Linked DNA regions of Elephas maximus indicus. The protein of the gene in region 1 purifies or fractionates together with the protein of each later gene. This does not show direct contact. Links are inferred from orthologs where the notes say so. Each region holds a gene or a part of one and is shown on either strand. Other genes may lie near its edges.

Region 1 (8,047 bases):
AATTCCTTGTAAATATCATTTCTGGAGGGATACACAATAAAGTGGTAATATTGACTGCTTTCAGGGAAGGGTATTAAGTAGATGGGGCAAAGATTTTTTTCAATCTTTTGTACCTTCTCAATATTGAACCATATGAATGTATTATCTATTGAAAACAACAAAATAAATGTCAAAAAGAGTAATAAATACTGATAGAAAGAAGTAGAGAGAACCCTAGCTAAATTAATTTGGTTAAAATTCTTGAACAGTTCATTTCCAAACTCTTCACCTTGACATTCAAGGCTTTTCTACACGGTATCACTCTACTTTTCAAGTATGTCGACTATGGTCTAGAAAAGATATCCTAGGCAAATTAAAGACATTTTCCGTCACATTCTACTAAGAATTTCTTTAAAGCCATAAGCAAGCAATGTTTGACATAATAAAAATTTTGTGTACTAGACATGAAAAATGTCAGATTATATGAATCAAAAACTATATCCGCACAAATCTGACAGTATGATGCCCTCATCAGCTGTTTCACATATTTGATGGACAGGCTGTCCTGAAGAAAAACATTGATAAAGGAAGATCAAGAGATTCAAGAAATCCTTATGGTACTATCTGTAGCTACAATCAATACATACAGTTCTCTCTAAACTATAAATACCATTATAAATTGTGACACAGTGTGAATTTATCCTCTCAGTGAGGAAAGTTGCTGCATTACATCTTATCGTTGTTGTTGTTAGGTGCCATCCAGGCAATTCTGACTCCTAGTGATGCTATGTACAACAGAACGAAACAATGCCCAGTCCTATACCATCGTCACAATTGTTGCTATGTTTGAACCCAATTTGCAGCCACTGTGTCAATCCATCTTGTTGAGGGTCTTTCTCTTTTTCACTGACCTTCTACTTTACAAAGCATGACATCCTTCTCCAGGGACTGGTCTCTCCCGAAAACACGTCCGAAGTACATGAGACGAAGTCTCACCATCCTCACTTCTAAGGATCATTCTGGCTGTACTTCTTCCAAGACAGATTAGTTTTGTTCTTCTGGCAGTCCACAGTATATTCAATATTCTTCATGAACACTATAATTCAAATGCATCAATTCTTCTTCATTCTTCCTTATTCATTGTCCAACTTTCACATGCATATGAGGTGACTAAAAATACCAATCGCTTGGGTTGGGTGCACCTTAGTCCTCAAAGTGGTATCTCCGATTTTGAACACTTCAAAGAGGTCTTTTGCAGCACATCTGCCCAATGCAATACATTTGATTTCCTGACTGCTGCTTCCATGGGTGTTGACAGCAGACCCAAAGTAAAATGAAATCCTTGACAACTTCAATCTTTTCTCCGTTTGTCATGATGTTGCTTATTGGTCCAGTCGTGAGGGTTTTTGTTTTCTTTATACTGAGGTGTAATCATTACTTATTATGGAAAAACATAGAAAGCAAAAATGGGATGCTATTAGACTTTTTTGAAACTATTTGTTTTTTCCTCTTTCTAAGTTCATTCGGACAACAATTAACAGCTTCTGTAGTGGAAACTACCGACACGTAAATAAAAAATGTATATTCAGGAGAAGGTGTCATGTTCACTACTTAGATCAGAAGACAGAAGATGAGAAAGAGTAAAATACACTTGGAATACAATGTCGACGTATTATTAACTTGACCTCAAAAGAACTCCTGAAGCCAAGTTTCATGATCTTTACTAAACTCCAAACGGTGACACTTACTGTATAAAAAAAACCTGTTTTCCCACAAAACAGGCTCCTTACATTTCACCTAGAACAACGGGCAATTTTAAATGAAACAGATCTGCAGACAGACAAATCCATACTGGAAACAGAAGGCTATTTCTCTCTACATTTGGCTCCTCTCCATCATCTCTACAACAGTGCTGCGCGATATAACATATTAACTTATACCGAACATTACTTTTAATCCTTCACAAACATTTCTAATGTAACTTACCAAGGCAATAAAAAATTCTGCTTCTGGAGACAAATTTTACATTCGAGAATAAAAAACAGGCCTATAAGCAAAAAGAAATAAGAAATGAGTTATGATACATACTGAAAGTAGTAGAACTTTTAATGTCTTACATACGGAAATTGTGTCAAACCATGAAAACTGAAATGTAAGATTTTAGAGTAACATGTTACTTGCTACCTCATTTTTTCCCACTCCTAATTAAAATCAGAGACCACTACTTTAAGATCAGAGTCAACCAGCATTTAAGCAATTTAAATGATACCTTATCCATAGCAAAATTTCTATTATTATTTTAATTTCATTATCAGTACGGCTTCTTAAATAATGTCAAATGATTGCTTTTAAATACATACTTTTCCTTAGAGAATTAAATTGTAATGACATGAAAGTGTTTCCTATGTAAACACTCCGTTCCATCTCTATGTAAGCAAGTCTAAGCACGGTCTTTCTTCTCATTTTCATTATCATTTCACTATTCTGCATGCCATTGCTTCCCCCAAGTGCAACTCACCTCAATGACACAGGGCTTTAGTAGGAATAACGGTGATGATCGATAAGCATTAGTCTAGGTGTAGCAGTCTTCTCAAAGGACCTACTAAGGCAGAGGTATCATCCCGCATTTTGAAAATGACATCCTGAAAGGGATCTACCCAGCAGCAGCTCACAGCCCAGAAAGGGGGGACTGGGAGAGTCCCACAGCTGACACCACCCTTTGGCTGACACCTCGGGCTTGACTACGTCCCGCCTCGGGCAACGCCCTGTGAGGCAGCTCCACACTATCCCGATAAAACAAACTGGTTTCGGAGCCCCTTGGAAACGGGAGGCGGCAGCGGGGGGAGTGACTCCGTTACCGCATCTCCAACTTCAGAGGTGGTTGCTAGCGGCCTCAGCGGAGTGGGAGGGAGGGCAGCGTTTGGTCCGGGGAGGCTACCTGCCTGCGGCGTCCTGCGGCCTCGCAACGCCGGCTCTACACTCCCGGCTACGCGGAGGACCAACGCGGGGAAAGTGCTTGGGACTCCGAGCGGGGCACTCCGCACGCCAGCGCAACAGAACCCTGGTGCCGGGAGGCAGGGGGAGCGGTCAGTACGTCACTGGCGCCGGCGTGTGACGTCTACGCACGAAGGGGGCGTGTCTGTGGAGTGGCCCGGAGCGAGCGGCGAGGCGGGGCGGAGCCTCCCGTGAACGGGGCGGAGCCTCTGGGAACGGGGCGGGGCCTCGGGGCGGGGCGGGGCGGAAGCCGGCGGAGTCCGTGCGAGACGTTGTCAGGGCTCTGCTGACCTGAGAAGCCACCAGGGAAGGAAAGTAAATGTGGAAGAAGGTGGAAAAGTAGGAGTGTAAAGATGGAAGAAGTAAGATAGAGATAAGGGCGAAAGCTCCCAAATAGAAGCTAACTTGGAATACAGCGTATCATAAAATTGTCCCACACACACTACTCAAAGGAATTTTATCAAGCAAAAAAAAAGTACTTAATAGTATACAACTTAGGGTGCCACATTTTTAAAAAATAATTTTGCCTAAAAAGCTAGTTTTTTTTTTTTTTCTAGTATAGTTTGGATGATCAAAGCAAGGGAGTATTCTTAAACCTTGAAATTTTAAAAAGTTGAAAGGCGTAATGTTGTTTCCTACGCTTTGACATCTAGTGTGTGTACATATAAATTACCTGCCTGTATGTTGAACCGCTTGGCAGTGTATAGTATTCTAAGCACCTTTCTTCACTGCAAGTTCTCCGGAGATAGGACCAGATTCCCCTGAAGCTGTAACAAGGGATCAAGTCGGGTGTTGTCCCGAGTAGCCCTACAGCTAGGTTGCCTTACACGGAGTAACTCCGAGGCACTCCGAGGGAATCCAGGTGTCAAGCCGAAGGATGGCAACGGCTTTGTATGCTACTTTAGTTGTTGCACTCTGTATTGTACAAGTTGTCCGTGTGTTGTATACAGCCACGTTGGAAAGACCACAGATTGTGCCGGAGACCTCAGAGGTGAAATGATTCAGATTTTTGCTTCAAAAAAATCCACCCCTTCTCCCCCACCTCCTTTCCTCAACACTCTACACACCCGAGGTCATCCTTGGGTTCTTGTGTCTAGGTCTTTGATTTAGCATGCAAATTGAAAGACTTGGCTTTTTTTTTTTTTTTTTTTGCCAGAAGATGGCACTGCAAGTTATCCAACCTGGCAAGCTGGAGAAAATCTGCCTTGGTTTATGTCCTCTTCGGTCTCCATGCTGCTACACAAGGTCTGTTTTCCTCATTCGTCTAACTTCTGGGCTAACCTTCTGTGACCTTTCCCACCCCCAGTTAGTCAATAGGAATTCTGCTGTGTGCACAATAATTCTAGCTCTACCCACTTCCCTCTGTAAGCGAAGCAGCATGAAAACATTCCCAATTGCTAATCTGAGCAAATTCTTTTTTGCTGCTTGCATAAAGAACTAGTCAGAAACCTCCTTAGATAATTCTTTAGGTGCCTGTTGTAACTGTTAACGAGTATAGAAACTGCTACAGCCTTTCTAGAAGACATGCGTATGCTTTGACTCAGTAATTTGAGTTTTAGAACAACTGATAAAAGATGTGTATACAAGGATAACCATTGTTGTTTATAGCCAGAAAAATTACAATGTGAATGTCTAACAATAAGAAGTCAATTAAAGAAATTACAGCCTTTCCAAACAGTGGAATAATCTGGAACCATTTCAAAGGGTGATGGGGACCTATTTTGTTGACACAGGTGCCTTTGATGTATTGTTGAATATACAAAGCAGGTCACTCTAACCTGGGTTAAGAGGATTAATTGATGCTTTCATTTTCTGGCTTATATACTTCCATACTTTTCCTTTAACAGGAATGGTTTTCTATATCTTTCATTCTTTCCCTTTAAAAAATGTATTGCATTTTTCTTTTAAACAACTATGCTAGTCTTTGTTCCCTGCAGCAAAACAGTAGCATAGGTGTACAAAGATAAGGCCTAGAGTTTTTGTTCTCTGAACTCAACCTGGCACTCAACTCCTCCGTGAAACCCAGTGTTAACAGTTTCATGAATATCCATCTACATTTTTCTCTAAGTGCATAAAATCATAACTAAGCCTCTATTCATATATATTACTCTTAATTTTTTAATGGGATTATAGAACATACATTATTTTACAAACTGGACTTTTAAATTTAATAATATATTATGAAAATCTATCCAGGGATCAACTAATTGTTCCAAATGATATTAATGTTCCATGGTGTGGATGTACCCAAATCTATTCAACCATACCCCGTCCCTCCAAAAGACATAGCGAACGTTCCCAGTTGGTGTTATTTCTGAAAGATAGGTTCCTAAAAGTGGGTTTGCTGGGTCATGAGGTTTTTTGTTTTTGTTTTTCTTTTTCACTTTAATAGATAACCCTACTTTAGTTATGTATTGTATGTGACAAACCACCCTAAAACTTAGTGACCTAAAACAACAATGATTATTTCTTATAATTTTGTGGTTAGGAAATCAGGCAGGGTTCTGTTGGGTGGTTCTTTTGCTCCATACGGCATTGGCTGGGATCACTCACCTAGCTTTATTCAGCTAGCAACCGTACTGGACTGGATGATCCAAGAAGCTTCACTCACGTATCTAGTGTCTTGGTGCTTCGCCATATGACGTTTCTCTCTCCATATTACCATCTTGGGCTTGATCACAACATCGTAGTCATATCCTTTACATGCAGCTGGCTTTGAATAGAGAAGAAGTAGAAGCCGTCAGGAATACTGTAACAATATTTCCATTTTCAAAGGGTAGGCCCAGAATAGGTATCACTTCTGCCACATTCTTGGTCAAAACAAGTCACAAGGCCAAGCAAGATTCATGGAGAGGGGAGGAATCATGATAGCCATCTTTGGAGTCTATCTACTACCCACTGAATTGCTTTTCATAATAAAATTCACACTATCAGCAGCTTTATACAAAAAGTACCTGTTTCCACTACACTAAAAGTTTTTCTCTTAATTTTGTCAATCTGCTGTTGCACTTTTCACATTAGTCATTTGAATGTCCTCCACTGTGACTTGCCTGCCTTTCATATGCTTTGCCTTTTTTTTTTTTTAAATCAATTTATAGGAATTATTTGTAAGATACAAAACTTAATCCTTTGTCATATTGTGGGACAAATGTTTTCTGCCAGTTTCTGACTCAAATTTTGACTTGTTTTATGATGTCTTTGGCCATACAGAAAATTGTAAATTTTTATGTGGTATTTCCTTTGTCATTTAGGTTTCTAGCCTTGCAGATACTCCTTCAGGCCCAAGTTAACCAGATAACCTAAATGTTTTTATATTTTTTCGTTAAATATATTTAATGTATTTGAAATATACTTTTGTATAAGATTAAATAGGGAGATTAGCTTTCTGTTCTTCTGCAGGAAAGCCAATTATGCCAGGACCATTAATTAAATGTAAGCTTTATCATATATTAAGACTACCATTTGTACTTGTATCTATTTCTGCATTTCTGTTCCATTTACCAATTCCCTGTTTGTCTCTTCATTATTTTGAAAAAAAAAGTTTGTTTTTATAATCAGGAATACTGTAACAGTATTTCCATTTAAAAAAAAATTGCCAACATTAAATTAACTTTTAAAAATGTGACGATTGTATAAAGGGCACTTATACAAAGCCAACAGCCAACATCATCCTAAATGGAGAGAGTCTGAAAGCATTTCCCTTGAGAACGGGAACTAGACAAGGATGCGTTTATCACCACTCTTATTCAACATTGTGCTGGAGGTCCTAGCCAGAGCAATTAGGCTGGATAAAGAAATAAAGGGCATCCAGATTGGTAAGGAAGAAGTAAAAGTATCTCTATTTGCAGATGACTTGATCTTATACACAGAAAAACCTAAGGAATCCTCAAGAAAACTACTGAAGGTAATAGAAGAGTTCAGCAGAACGTCAGGATACAAGATAAACATACAAAAATCAGTTGGATTCCTCTACACCAACAAAAAGAACATCAAAGAGGAAATCACAAAATCAATACCATTCACAGTAGCCCCCAAGAAGATAAAATACTTAGGAATAAATCTTACCAGAGACATAAAAGACCTATACAAAGAAAACTACAAGACACTAGTGCAAGAATCCAAAAAAGACCTACATAAGTGGAAAAACATACCTCGCTCATGGATAGAAAGACTTAACATTGCAAAAATGTCTATTCTACCAAAAGCGATCTACAGATACAATGCAATTCCAATCCAAATTCCAAAACAACATTTTTTAATGAGATGGAGAAACAAATTACCAACTTCATAGGGAAGGGAAAGAGGCCCCAGATAAGTAATGCATTACTGAAAAGGAAGAACAAAGTGGGAGGCCTCACACTAACTGATTTTAGAACCTATTATGCCACCACAGTAGCCAAAACAGCCTGGTACTGGTACAACAAGAGATACATAGACCAATGGAAGAGAATTGAGAATCCAGACATAAATCCATCCACATATGAGCAGCTGTTATTTGACAAACACCCAAAGTCTGTTAAATGGGGAAAAGACAGTCTTTTCAACAAATGGTGCTGGCATAACTGGATATCCATCTGCAAAAAAATGAAACAAGACCCATACCTCACACCATGCACAAAAACCAACTGAAAATGGATCAAAGACCTAAATATAAAATCTAAAACGATGAAGATCATGGAAGAAAAAATAGGGACAACACTAGGAGTCCTAATACATGGCATAAACAGTATACAGAACATTACTAACAATGCACAAACACCAGAAGAGAAACTAGATAACTGGGAGCTCCTAAAAACCAAACACCTTTGCTCATCCAAAGACTTCACCAAAAGAGTAAAAAGATTACCTACAGACTGGGAAAAAGTTTTTAGCTAAGACATTTCTGATCAGCATCTGATCTCTAAAATCTGTATGATGCTGAAAAAATTCAACAACAAAAAGACAAATAACCCAATTAAAAAATGGGCAAAGGATATGAACAGGCACTTCACTAAAGAAGGCATTCAGGTAGCTAACAGATACATGAGGATATGCTCACTATCATTAGCCATTAGAGAAATGCAGATCAAAACTA
Region 2 (8,279 bases), on another chromosome or scaffold:
TTAAGATGCAGTAAAAGACTACAAAGAAAGTTACTTTATGTTGACCTGCAAGCTAGATGTGATTAACAGGGTTTTTTTTTTTTTTTTTTTTTGCACTTTACAAAGCTCTAGAGTTATGTGTGTATATTCATTCTTTTTTTTTTTTTTTTTTTAATTTTTATTAAGCTTCAAGTGAACATTTACCATTCCAATCAGTCTGTCACATGTAGGTTTACATACATCTTACTCCCTTCTCCCACTTGCTCTCCCCCTATTGAGTCAGCCCTTACAGTCTCTCGTTTCGTGCCAATTTTACCTTCTTCCCTCTCTCTCTATCTTCCCATCCCCCCTCCAGTCAAGAGTTGCCAACACACTCTCCTGTGTCCACCTGATTTAATTAGCTCACTCTTCATCAGTAATATTCATTCTTTTTGTCTGATTTCTGGAACTTTTCCTGTTGATGATGAAATCTAAAATGCTAAAATACACTGCAGATTCCTTTGTTCCATGCCTGTTTACTATGAATACAAAAGTTTTTTACAGAGACCAGGAGTTCACCAACAACTGCCTGCCTCCCCCCACATCTGACACTCTGGGATGATACGCTCAAGTTTTCCTTTTATCAGAGAAGAAAAGCGGAGAGAAACATATTTACTGAGCAAACACTGGGGGCCTGAGTTTATTTCTCTAATCTTCCCAACAATACCGTGAGGTAAGCTGTAGCACTCTGCTTTTACAGCTATAAAGATGTGGCTGTAACAAAGAAGTAATTTGCTCAAGGCAATAAAGCTAGCCAGAAGTGCAACTAAGATTTAAAGCCAAATGTGTCTCATACCAAAGCTCTGTTCTTTGCCATTTGACAGGAATATTGTTCAATTCCAGAACCTTAAACCTGTTGCCGTCGATTCCGACTCATAGCAACCCTACAGGATAGAGTAGACCTGCCCCATAGGGTTTCCAAGGCTGTAATCTTAATGGAAGCAGACTGCCACATCTTTCTACTAAGAAGCAGCTGGTGGGTTCAAACCACAGACCCTGTGCTTAGCAGCCGAGCACTTAACCACTGTGCCACCAGGGCTCCTTCCCTGAACACTACCCAGGAGCTTTCAGGTTCTGGGGGAAGAAAATGGAGGGTAGGCAGTTTTATATGGAATGGTTTCTGCAGGTGAAGAGAACTGGTGCCAGGAAGTGTGAGATAAAGGGATAGGGTAGACCTGCTACCCTTGGGGGGGTGTTCCTACCCCCTTTTCTCATCTTGTCAGTGTTAGACTTTGCTGCTCCAGGGAAGGCTTGGTTGATAGATAGCTTGACACGAGCTTGGATGAAGCCTTGGAACTTATTTGATTGTTTAGAATATCTACCTATAGACAGATACAAAGGAGATATTGCAGCTATACTTTATTTCTTCTGTCCTAAGGAGTCAAAACAGGAGTCCCCAGGCGGCCCAAACGGTGGCTCAAACCCACCCAGAGGCAGCTTGAAAAAAAGGCCTGGCAATCTGCTCCAAAAGGGTTGGAATCAACTCAACGGCAACAACAACCAGAAAGACTGCTCAGATAACTGACAAAGGCGGCCAAGAATCATTTCTTGGCTGATTTTCAAAAAAATTGGGTATGTCTGATGCCTGGGGGTACTTCTCGGACAAAGGAGCAGTGCTGGTTGCTGTTATTTGCAGGACAGAAACGATTTGTTCATTCTCACAGTGGCCACAGGATAGACAGTTAATCTCCTTCACTGATGCAAACAAGGGTGTCTTTCTAAGTAAGAGGCCAAGTTCGAAGGCTAAACACCCGACTTATGAAACAAACCTCAGAAAGTCTGAAGTAGGATTATTGTTTCTCCCCGCTCAGAGCAAGTAAGACCAGAGACTTGCATACTCTTTCCAAAACAAAGAAACGCATTATTGAAAGCAAATGGCAGAAGGGAAATTTTGGCAAGATACCAGATGTGCCACGGTAAAAAGGCTTTTTAAGTAACACCTACAGTCTATTCGCAGAAGTCAGTGTGAGGAAGGGTCTGCCCTTGGCTGTGCAGCCCACTCCCTACCTAGCTACCTGTCCAGCCTACAGGTGAGCATTAAGCCTTGCTCTGAGTCCCCAGTGACCACCCGTGTGTCTTTCAGATCCCAGCTCCAGGCTACCTCCTCTGGGAAGTGCTTCTGGTCCTCCCTGGTCCCAGCTAGCCCTGGCTACTCCCACCTGTGGCTGCTCTGATTCCACAGTTCCTGTATGCTTTCCTGCCACTTCCCTCCCAAACATCACATCGTCTGGGGACAGGCCCCTTCCCCCAAGTACTTAATTACATACACGCTTCTTGTGGTCAGGTGCTGTGAGTCAGCTCTGACTTACATATGTTGTTGTGTGCTTCTGACTCATAGCAACCCACGGGGACAGAGTAGAACAGCAGACAGAGTTGAAAACCCGGAAGCCTTTCAAGGCTGCAATCTTCATGGAAGCTGACTGCCACATCTCTCCCCCACTGGTGGCTTTGGGTTAGCAGCCAAGCACCCGGGCTCCTTGATACACACGCAACAGAACTAAACGTGCCCTGTCCATGCTTAGGGAATCATGATTTCTGAGTCCCAGTCCTCGTCCATATGTCAGACCCATCCAGAGGGAACCATCTGCCCCCAGTAAAGCTATTTAAAACCGGGCAACGAGACTTGGAGAAAATTCTAGGTGTTTTAAGGAAAGGCAGCCTGTCTGAGCCTGGGTCCCAAACACCACCGCTCAGGGGGCGTGAAGGTTCTGGAATGGCCTTTGTGCCAGCGGCCACCTGGGCTTGAGGCAGCACCTCCCGCGGGCCCCGGAGCAGCAGGCCGCCAGGGCCGCTGTGGGGCGGCGGCGCAGAGGCTCGGCCCGAGGCGCCTCGGGCCCCGGCTCGCTCCGATCCCCTCGCGCTCCGGCTCCGCTCGCCGCAGCCCCCCGCCCGGGCGGAGATGCCGGCGGCAAGAACGCAGGGCGGCCCCGGCCCTCACCAGCAGTTGAGCTTTCGCACACTGTCCAGCTCCGAGGCCTTGGCCCGGGACAGCACCATCTTCCGCGTCAGCTTCATGGCGGCCGAGCTGCCCGGACCCCAGGCGGGCCTGCCAGGGCCCGACCCAGCCGCTCAGCCTCGGGTTCCGGCTCCGCGCCGCGCGTCTCCAGGGGCGGGGCGAGTCGTCAGGGGCGGGGCGTGTCGGCAGGGAGGGCCCTGCGAGCCCATTGGCGGCCCGGCGTGGGGCTTCCGCTGGGCACCCTCGGCCCCGCCCCTCCTCGACTCCGTCCGTGGTTTTGCGCGTGCGCAGTGTGATCTCTGCGTGTGGGCACATAATTGGGTGGCTCTATCAGTTCGGTCCTCACCGCCACTGTCAGGGACTGGGGTCGTCTCTCTGCTGCTCTGGCTGGTTGTTAGGTGCGGTGGAGTCGGTTCGGACTCATAGCGACCTTATATACAACAGAGCAAAACACTGCCGGATCCTGTCATCCTCACAATTGTTGCTGTATTTGAGCTTAGTGTTAGAGCCACTGTATCAATCCATCTGGTTGAGGGTTTTCCTCTGTTTCGCTGACCCTCCACTTTACCAAGCATAATGTCCTTCTCCAGGGACTGGTCCCTCTTGATAAATGTCCAAAGTACGTGAGACGAAGCCTCGTCATCCTTGCTTCTAAGGAACGTTCTGGCTGTCTTCCAAGACAGATTTGTTCATTCTTTTGGAAATGGTATATTCAATATTCTTCGCAAACACCATAATTCGAAGGCATCAATTCTTCTTTAGTCTTCCGTAGTCATTGTCCATCTTTAGCATGCATGAGGCTATTGAAAATACCATGACTTGGGTTAGCCGCACCTTAGTCCTTGAGGTGACATCTTTGCTTTTTAACACTTTAAAGAGGTCTTTTGCAGCAGATTTGCCCGATGCAATACATAATTTGATTTGTTGACTGCTGCTTCCATGGGCGTTGATTGTGGATCCAAGTAAAAGGAAATCTTTGACAACTTCAGTATTTCTCTGTTGATCATGATGTTGCTCATTGGTCCAGTTGTATTTTTTTTTTTATATTGAGGTGATAGTAACAAATTATGGATAACATCGCAAAGAAAGGGAATTTCAGAGCACTTAATTGTGCTCATGCAGAACCTGTGTATAGTTCAAGGAAAAGTTGTTCAAATAGAACAAAGGGATACCGTGCGGTTTAAAATCAGGAAAGGTGTGTGTCAGGGTTGTATCACTTCACCATACATATTCAATCCGTATGATGAGTAAATAATCGAAGAAGACAGACTATATGAAGAAGAATGCTGCATCAGGATCAGAGGAAGACTCAACAACCCGCGATATGTAGCTTGCCAACCTTGCTTGCTGAAAGTGAAGAGGACTTGAAGCACTTACTGATGAAGATCAAAGACTACAGCCTTCAGTATAGATTATACCTGCTCTGGCTTAGGGTGATTTAACTCTTGCAATAAAAAATCCAGGGAAGTTTTAGGGTGATGAGATTACATTTATGGAGAAGTTGTTAGTTGCTGCCCAGCCAGTTGATTCTTTCTGAAGCAGATCACTTGTCCTTTCTTCCAGGCATATCTGGGTGAGTTCTAACCACCAACCTTTTGGCTAGCAGTCGAGTGCTATTTGTTTCACCCACAGAAACCTCACATGTATTTAAACCTGTCAGGAACCAGAGAAGGAGTCCCTGGGTGGTGCAAAGAGTTAATACACTCAGTGAGTGGCCTGCAGAGGAGAAACCATTCTAGTAATGGAACTGCCTAGAGCCTGGGGTATGAGGCAGGGCTCAGCATGATGTTGCATAACTGATGATTGGGGGCAGTGTGAGACTGGAGGGTGGACAATCTCAGAGGGGTACCTCTCAGCTCTTGGCTTCCAAGCAGGGAGAGAGCATTCTGACTCCTCTTCATGGGGCTGACAAGGCTTGACCTCAGAGGAACGCAGAAACCAGAGTCAGAGCCACAAAGAGCAGTGGGGAGCTTCCAGCAGGCTTATGCTGTGTGTGCTTGCAGAGGGCTTCTGGACTGTCCCAGCTTGGTGGTATATCAGGTGGATGAGGGCAAAGCAGAGGCTGCTGAGAACTGACCTTTAGTGCCAAGATGTGGTGCAGAAGTATCCACAGAAAGGCTGCTGAGGTGTGGGAAACAGCACCATCCACAGAGGGAATCAAGAGTCTCCAGGCTTTGGCAAACCCCATCTTTTGCTCTAGGGAGGGCCAAGTAGGCAAATGCTGGAGCATCTTATACTGGGAGCAATGCCAGTGGGCTAGCCACTAATGGGAAAAGGGTGCCCTAGTTGCTGGCCCTGCTCATCCTTTCTTGACCCTACCTGGGTGAGATGGCCCCTCTCCCTGAATTCATCAGCACCTTCAAATAATTCAGACCCTTAGCCACCCTCTGGGAGTGTCTGGGTGGTGCAGATGGTTAAAACACTTGGCTGCTAACTGAGAGGTTGGTGGTTTGAATCCACCTAGAAGCACCTTGGAAGAAAGATCTGTTGATTTACTTCCAAAATATCAGCCATTGAAAATCCTGTGGAGCTGGGGACCATGGTCTTGGGGGATATCTAGCTCAACTGGCATAACATACTTTATAAAGAAAATGTTCTACATCCTACTTTGGTGAGTAGCATCTGGAGTCTTAAAAGCTTGTGAGCGGTCATCTAAGATACTCCACTGCTCCCACCCCATCTGGAGCAAAGGAGAATGAAGAAAACCAAAAACACAAGGGAAAGATTAGTCCAAAGAATTAATGGGTCACAAATACCACAGCCTCCACCAGACTGAGTCTAGCACAACTAGAATGTACCCAGCTACCACCATTGACTGCTCTGATAGGGATCACAATAGAGGGTCCCAGACAGAGCTGGAAATAAATGTAGAACAAAATTCTAACTCACAAAAAGAAGACCAAATTTACTGGCCTGACAGAGACTGGAGAAACCCAGAGAGTATGGTCCCCATACACCCTTTTAACTCAGTACTGAAGTCACTCCTGAGGTTCACCCTTCAGCCAAAGACTAGACAGGCCCGTAAAACAAAATGAGACTAAATGGGCACACCAACCCAGGGGAAAGGACAAGAAGGCAGGAGGGGACAGGAAAGATGGTAATGGGGGACTCAAGGTTGAGAAGGGGAGAGTGTTGACATGTCGTACTGTTGGCAACCAACGTCATAAAACAATGTGTTTATTAATTGTTTAATGAGAAGCAAGGATTAAGTTGAGTTGTAGGTCCAAGTGTGATGGTTTTAGTTCTGTCAATATGGCTAGGCTGCATTTCCCAGAATTCCCTTCCCAATATATAGTTCCAGGAAACCCTGGTGGCATAGCAGTTAAGAGCTACCACTGCTGACCAAAAGGCTGGCAGGTCGAATCCACCAGGCGCTCCTTGGAAACCCTATGGGGCAGTTCTACTCTGTCCTATAGGGTCGTTATGAGTTGGAAGTAATTCAATGGCAACAAGTTTTTTTTTTTTTTTTATTAACTTTTATTAAGCTTCAAGTGAACGTTTACAAATCCAATCAGTCTGTCACATATAAGTTTACATACATCTTTCTCCGTACTCCCACTTGCTCTTCCCCTATTGAGTCAGCCCTTTCAGTCTCTCCTTTCGTGACAATTTTGCCAGCTTCCCTCTCTCTCTATCCTCCCATCCCCCCTCGAGGCAAGAGTTGCCAACACACTCTCAAGTGTCCATCTGATATAATTAGCTCACTTTTCATCAGCATCTCTCTCCCACCCACTGACCAGTCCCTTTCATGTCTGATGAGTTGTCTTCGGGGATGGTTCCTGTCCTGTGCCGACAGAAGGTCTGGGGAGCATGGCCGCTGGGATTCCTCTAGTCTCAGTCAGATCATTAAGTATGGTCTTTTTATGAGAATTTGGGGTCTGCATCCCACTGATCTCCTGTTCCCTCAGGAGTTCTCTGTTGTGCTCCCTGTCAGGGCAGTCATCGATTGTGGCCGGGCACCAACTAGTTCTTCTGGTCTCAGGATGATGTAGGTCTCTGGTTCATGTGGCCCTTTCTGTCTCTTGGGCTCTTAGTTGTCGTGTGATCTTGGTGTTCTTCATTTTCCTTTGCTCCAGGTGGGTTGAGACCAATTGATGCATCTTAGATGGCCACTTGTTAGCATTTAAGACCCCAGATGCCACATTTCAAAGTGGGATGCAGAATGTTTTCATAATAGAATTATTTTGCCAATTGACTTAGAAGTCCCCTCAAACCATGGTCCCCAGACCCCCACCCCTGCTCCGCTGACCTTTGAAGCATTCATTTTATCCCGGAAACTTCTTTGCTTTTGGTCCAGTCCAATTGAGCTGACCTTCCATGTATTGAGTGTTGTCTTTCCCTTCACCCAAAGCAGTTCTTATCTACTAATTAATCAATAAAAAACCCTCTCCCTCCCTCCCTCCCTCCCCCCTTCGTAACCACAGAAGTATGTGTTCTTCTCAGTTTTTACTATTTCTCAAGCTCTTATAATAGTGGTCTTATACCATATTTGTCCTTTTGCCTCTGACTCATTTCGCTCAGCATAATGCCTTCCAGGTTCCTCCACGTTATGAAATGTTTCACAGATTCGTCACTGTTCTTTATCGATGCGTAGTATTCCATCGTGTGAATATACCACAATTTATTTACCCATTCATCCGTTGATGGACACCTTGGTTGTTTCCAGCTTTTTGCTATTGTAAACAGAGCTGCAATAAACATGGGTGTGCATATATCTGTTCGTGTGAAGGCTCTTGTATTTCTAGGGTATATTCCGAGGAGTGGGATTTCTGGGTTGTATGGTAGTTCTATTTCTAACTGTTTAAGATAACGCCAGATAGATTTCCAAAGTGGTTGTACCATTTTACATTCCCACCAGCAGTGTGTAAGAGTTCCAATCTCTCCGCAGCCTCTCCAACATTTATTATTTTGTGTTTTTTGGATTAATGCCAGCCTTGTTGGAGTGAGATGGAATCTCATCGTAGTTTTAATTTGCATTTCTCTAATGGCTAATGATCGAGAGCATTTTCTCATGTATCTGTTGGCTGCCTGAATATCTTCTTTAGTGAAATGTGTGTTCATATCCTTTGCCCACTTCTTGATTGGGTTGTTTGTCTTTTTGTGGTTGAGTTTTGACAAAATCATGTAGATTTTAGAGATCAGGCGCTGGTCTGAGATGTCATAGCTGAAAATTCTTTCCCAGTCTGTAGGTGGTCTTTTTACTCTTTTGGTGAAGTCTTTAGATGAGCATAGGTGTTTGATTTTTAGGAGCTCGCAGTTATCGGGTTTCTCTTCATCATTTTTGGTAATGTTTTGTATTCTGTTT

What was found. The genes of interacting proteins can lie anywhere in the genome.
Region 2: the proteins of NEK1 (region 1) and CFAP410 purify together in Homo sapiens (affinity purification with mass spectrometry; 3 studies listed by BioGRID and IntAct, with this or other methods). This does not show direct contact. The link is inferred for Elephas maximus indicus from reciprocal best matches to the Homo sapiens genes NEK1 and CFAP410.

Annotation. Positions count from the first base shown.
Region 1 is NC_064839.1:65,458,783-65,466,829, forward strand, and holds the start of NEK1 (serine/threonine-protein kinase Nek1), read right to left. Parts: upstream 3,069-8,047; 5' UTR 2,498-3,068; intron 2,027-2,497; 5' UTR 1,966-2,026; intron 1,953-1,965; exon of another isoform or gene 891-1,952; intron 1-890. UniProt on the Homo sapiens protein: Phosphorylates serines and threonines, but also appears to possess tyrosine kinase activity. Involved in DNA damage checkpoint control and for proper DNA damage repair.
Region 2 is NC_064820.1:228,647,123-228,655,401, forward strand, and holds the start of CFAP410 (cilia- and flagella-associated protein 410), read right to left. Parts: upstream 3,134-8,279; 5' UTR 3,034-3,133; coding exon 2,957-3,033; intron 1-2,956. UniProt on the Homo sapiens protein: Plays a role in cilia formation and/or maintenance. Plays a role in the regulation of cell morphology and cytoskeletal organization. Involved in DNA damage repair.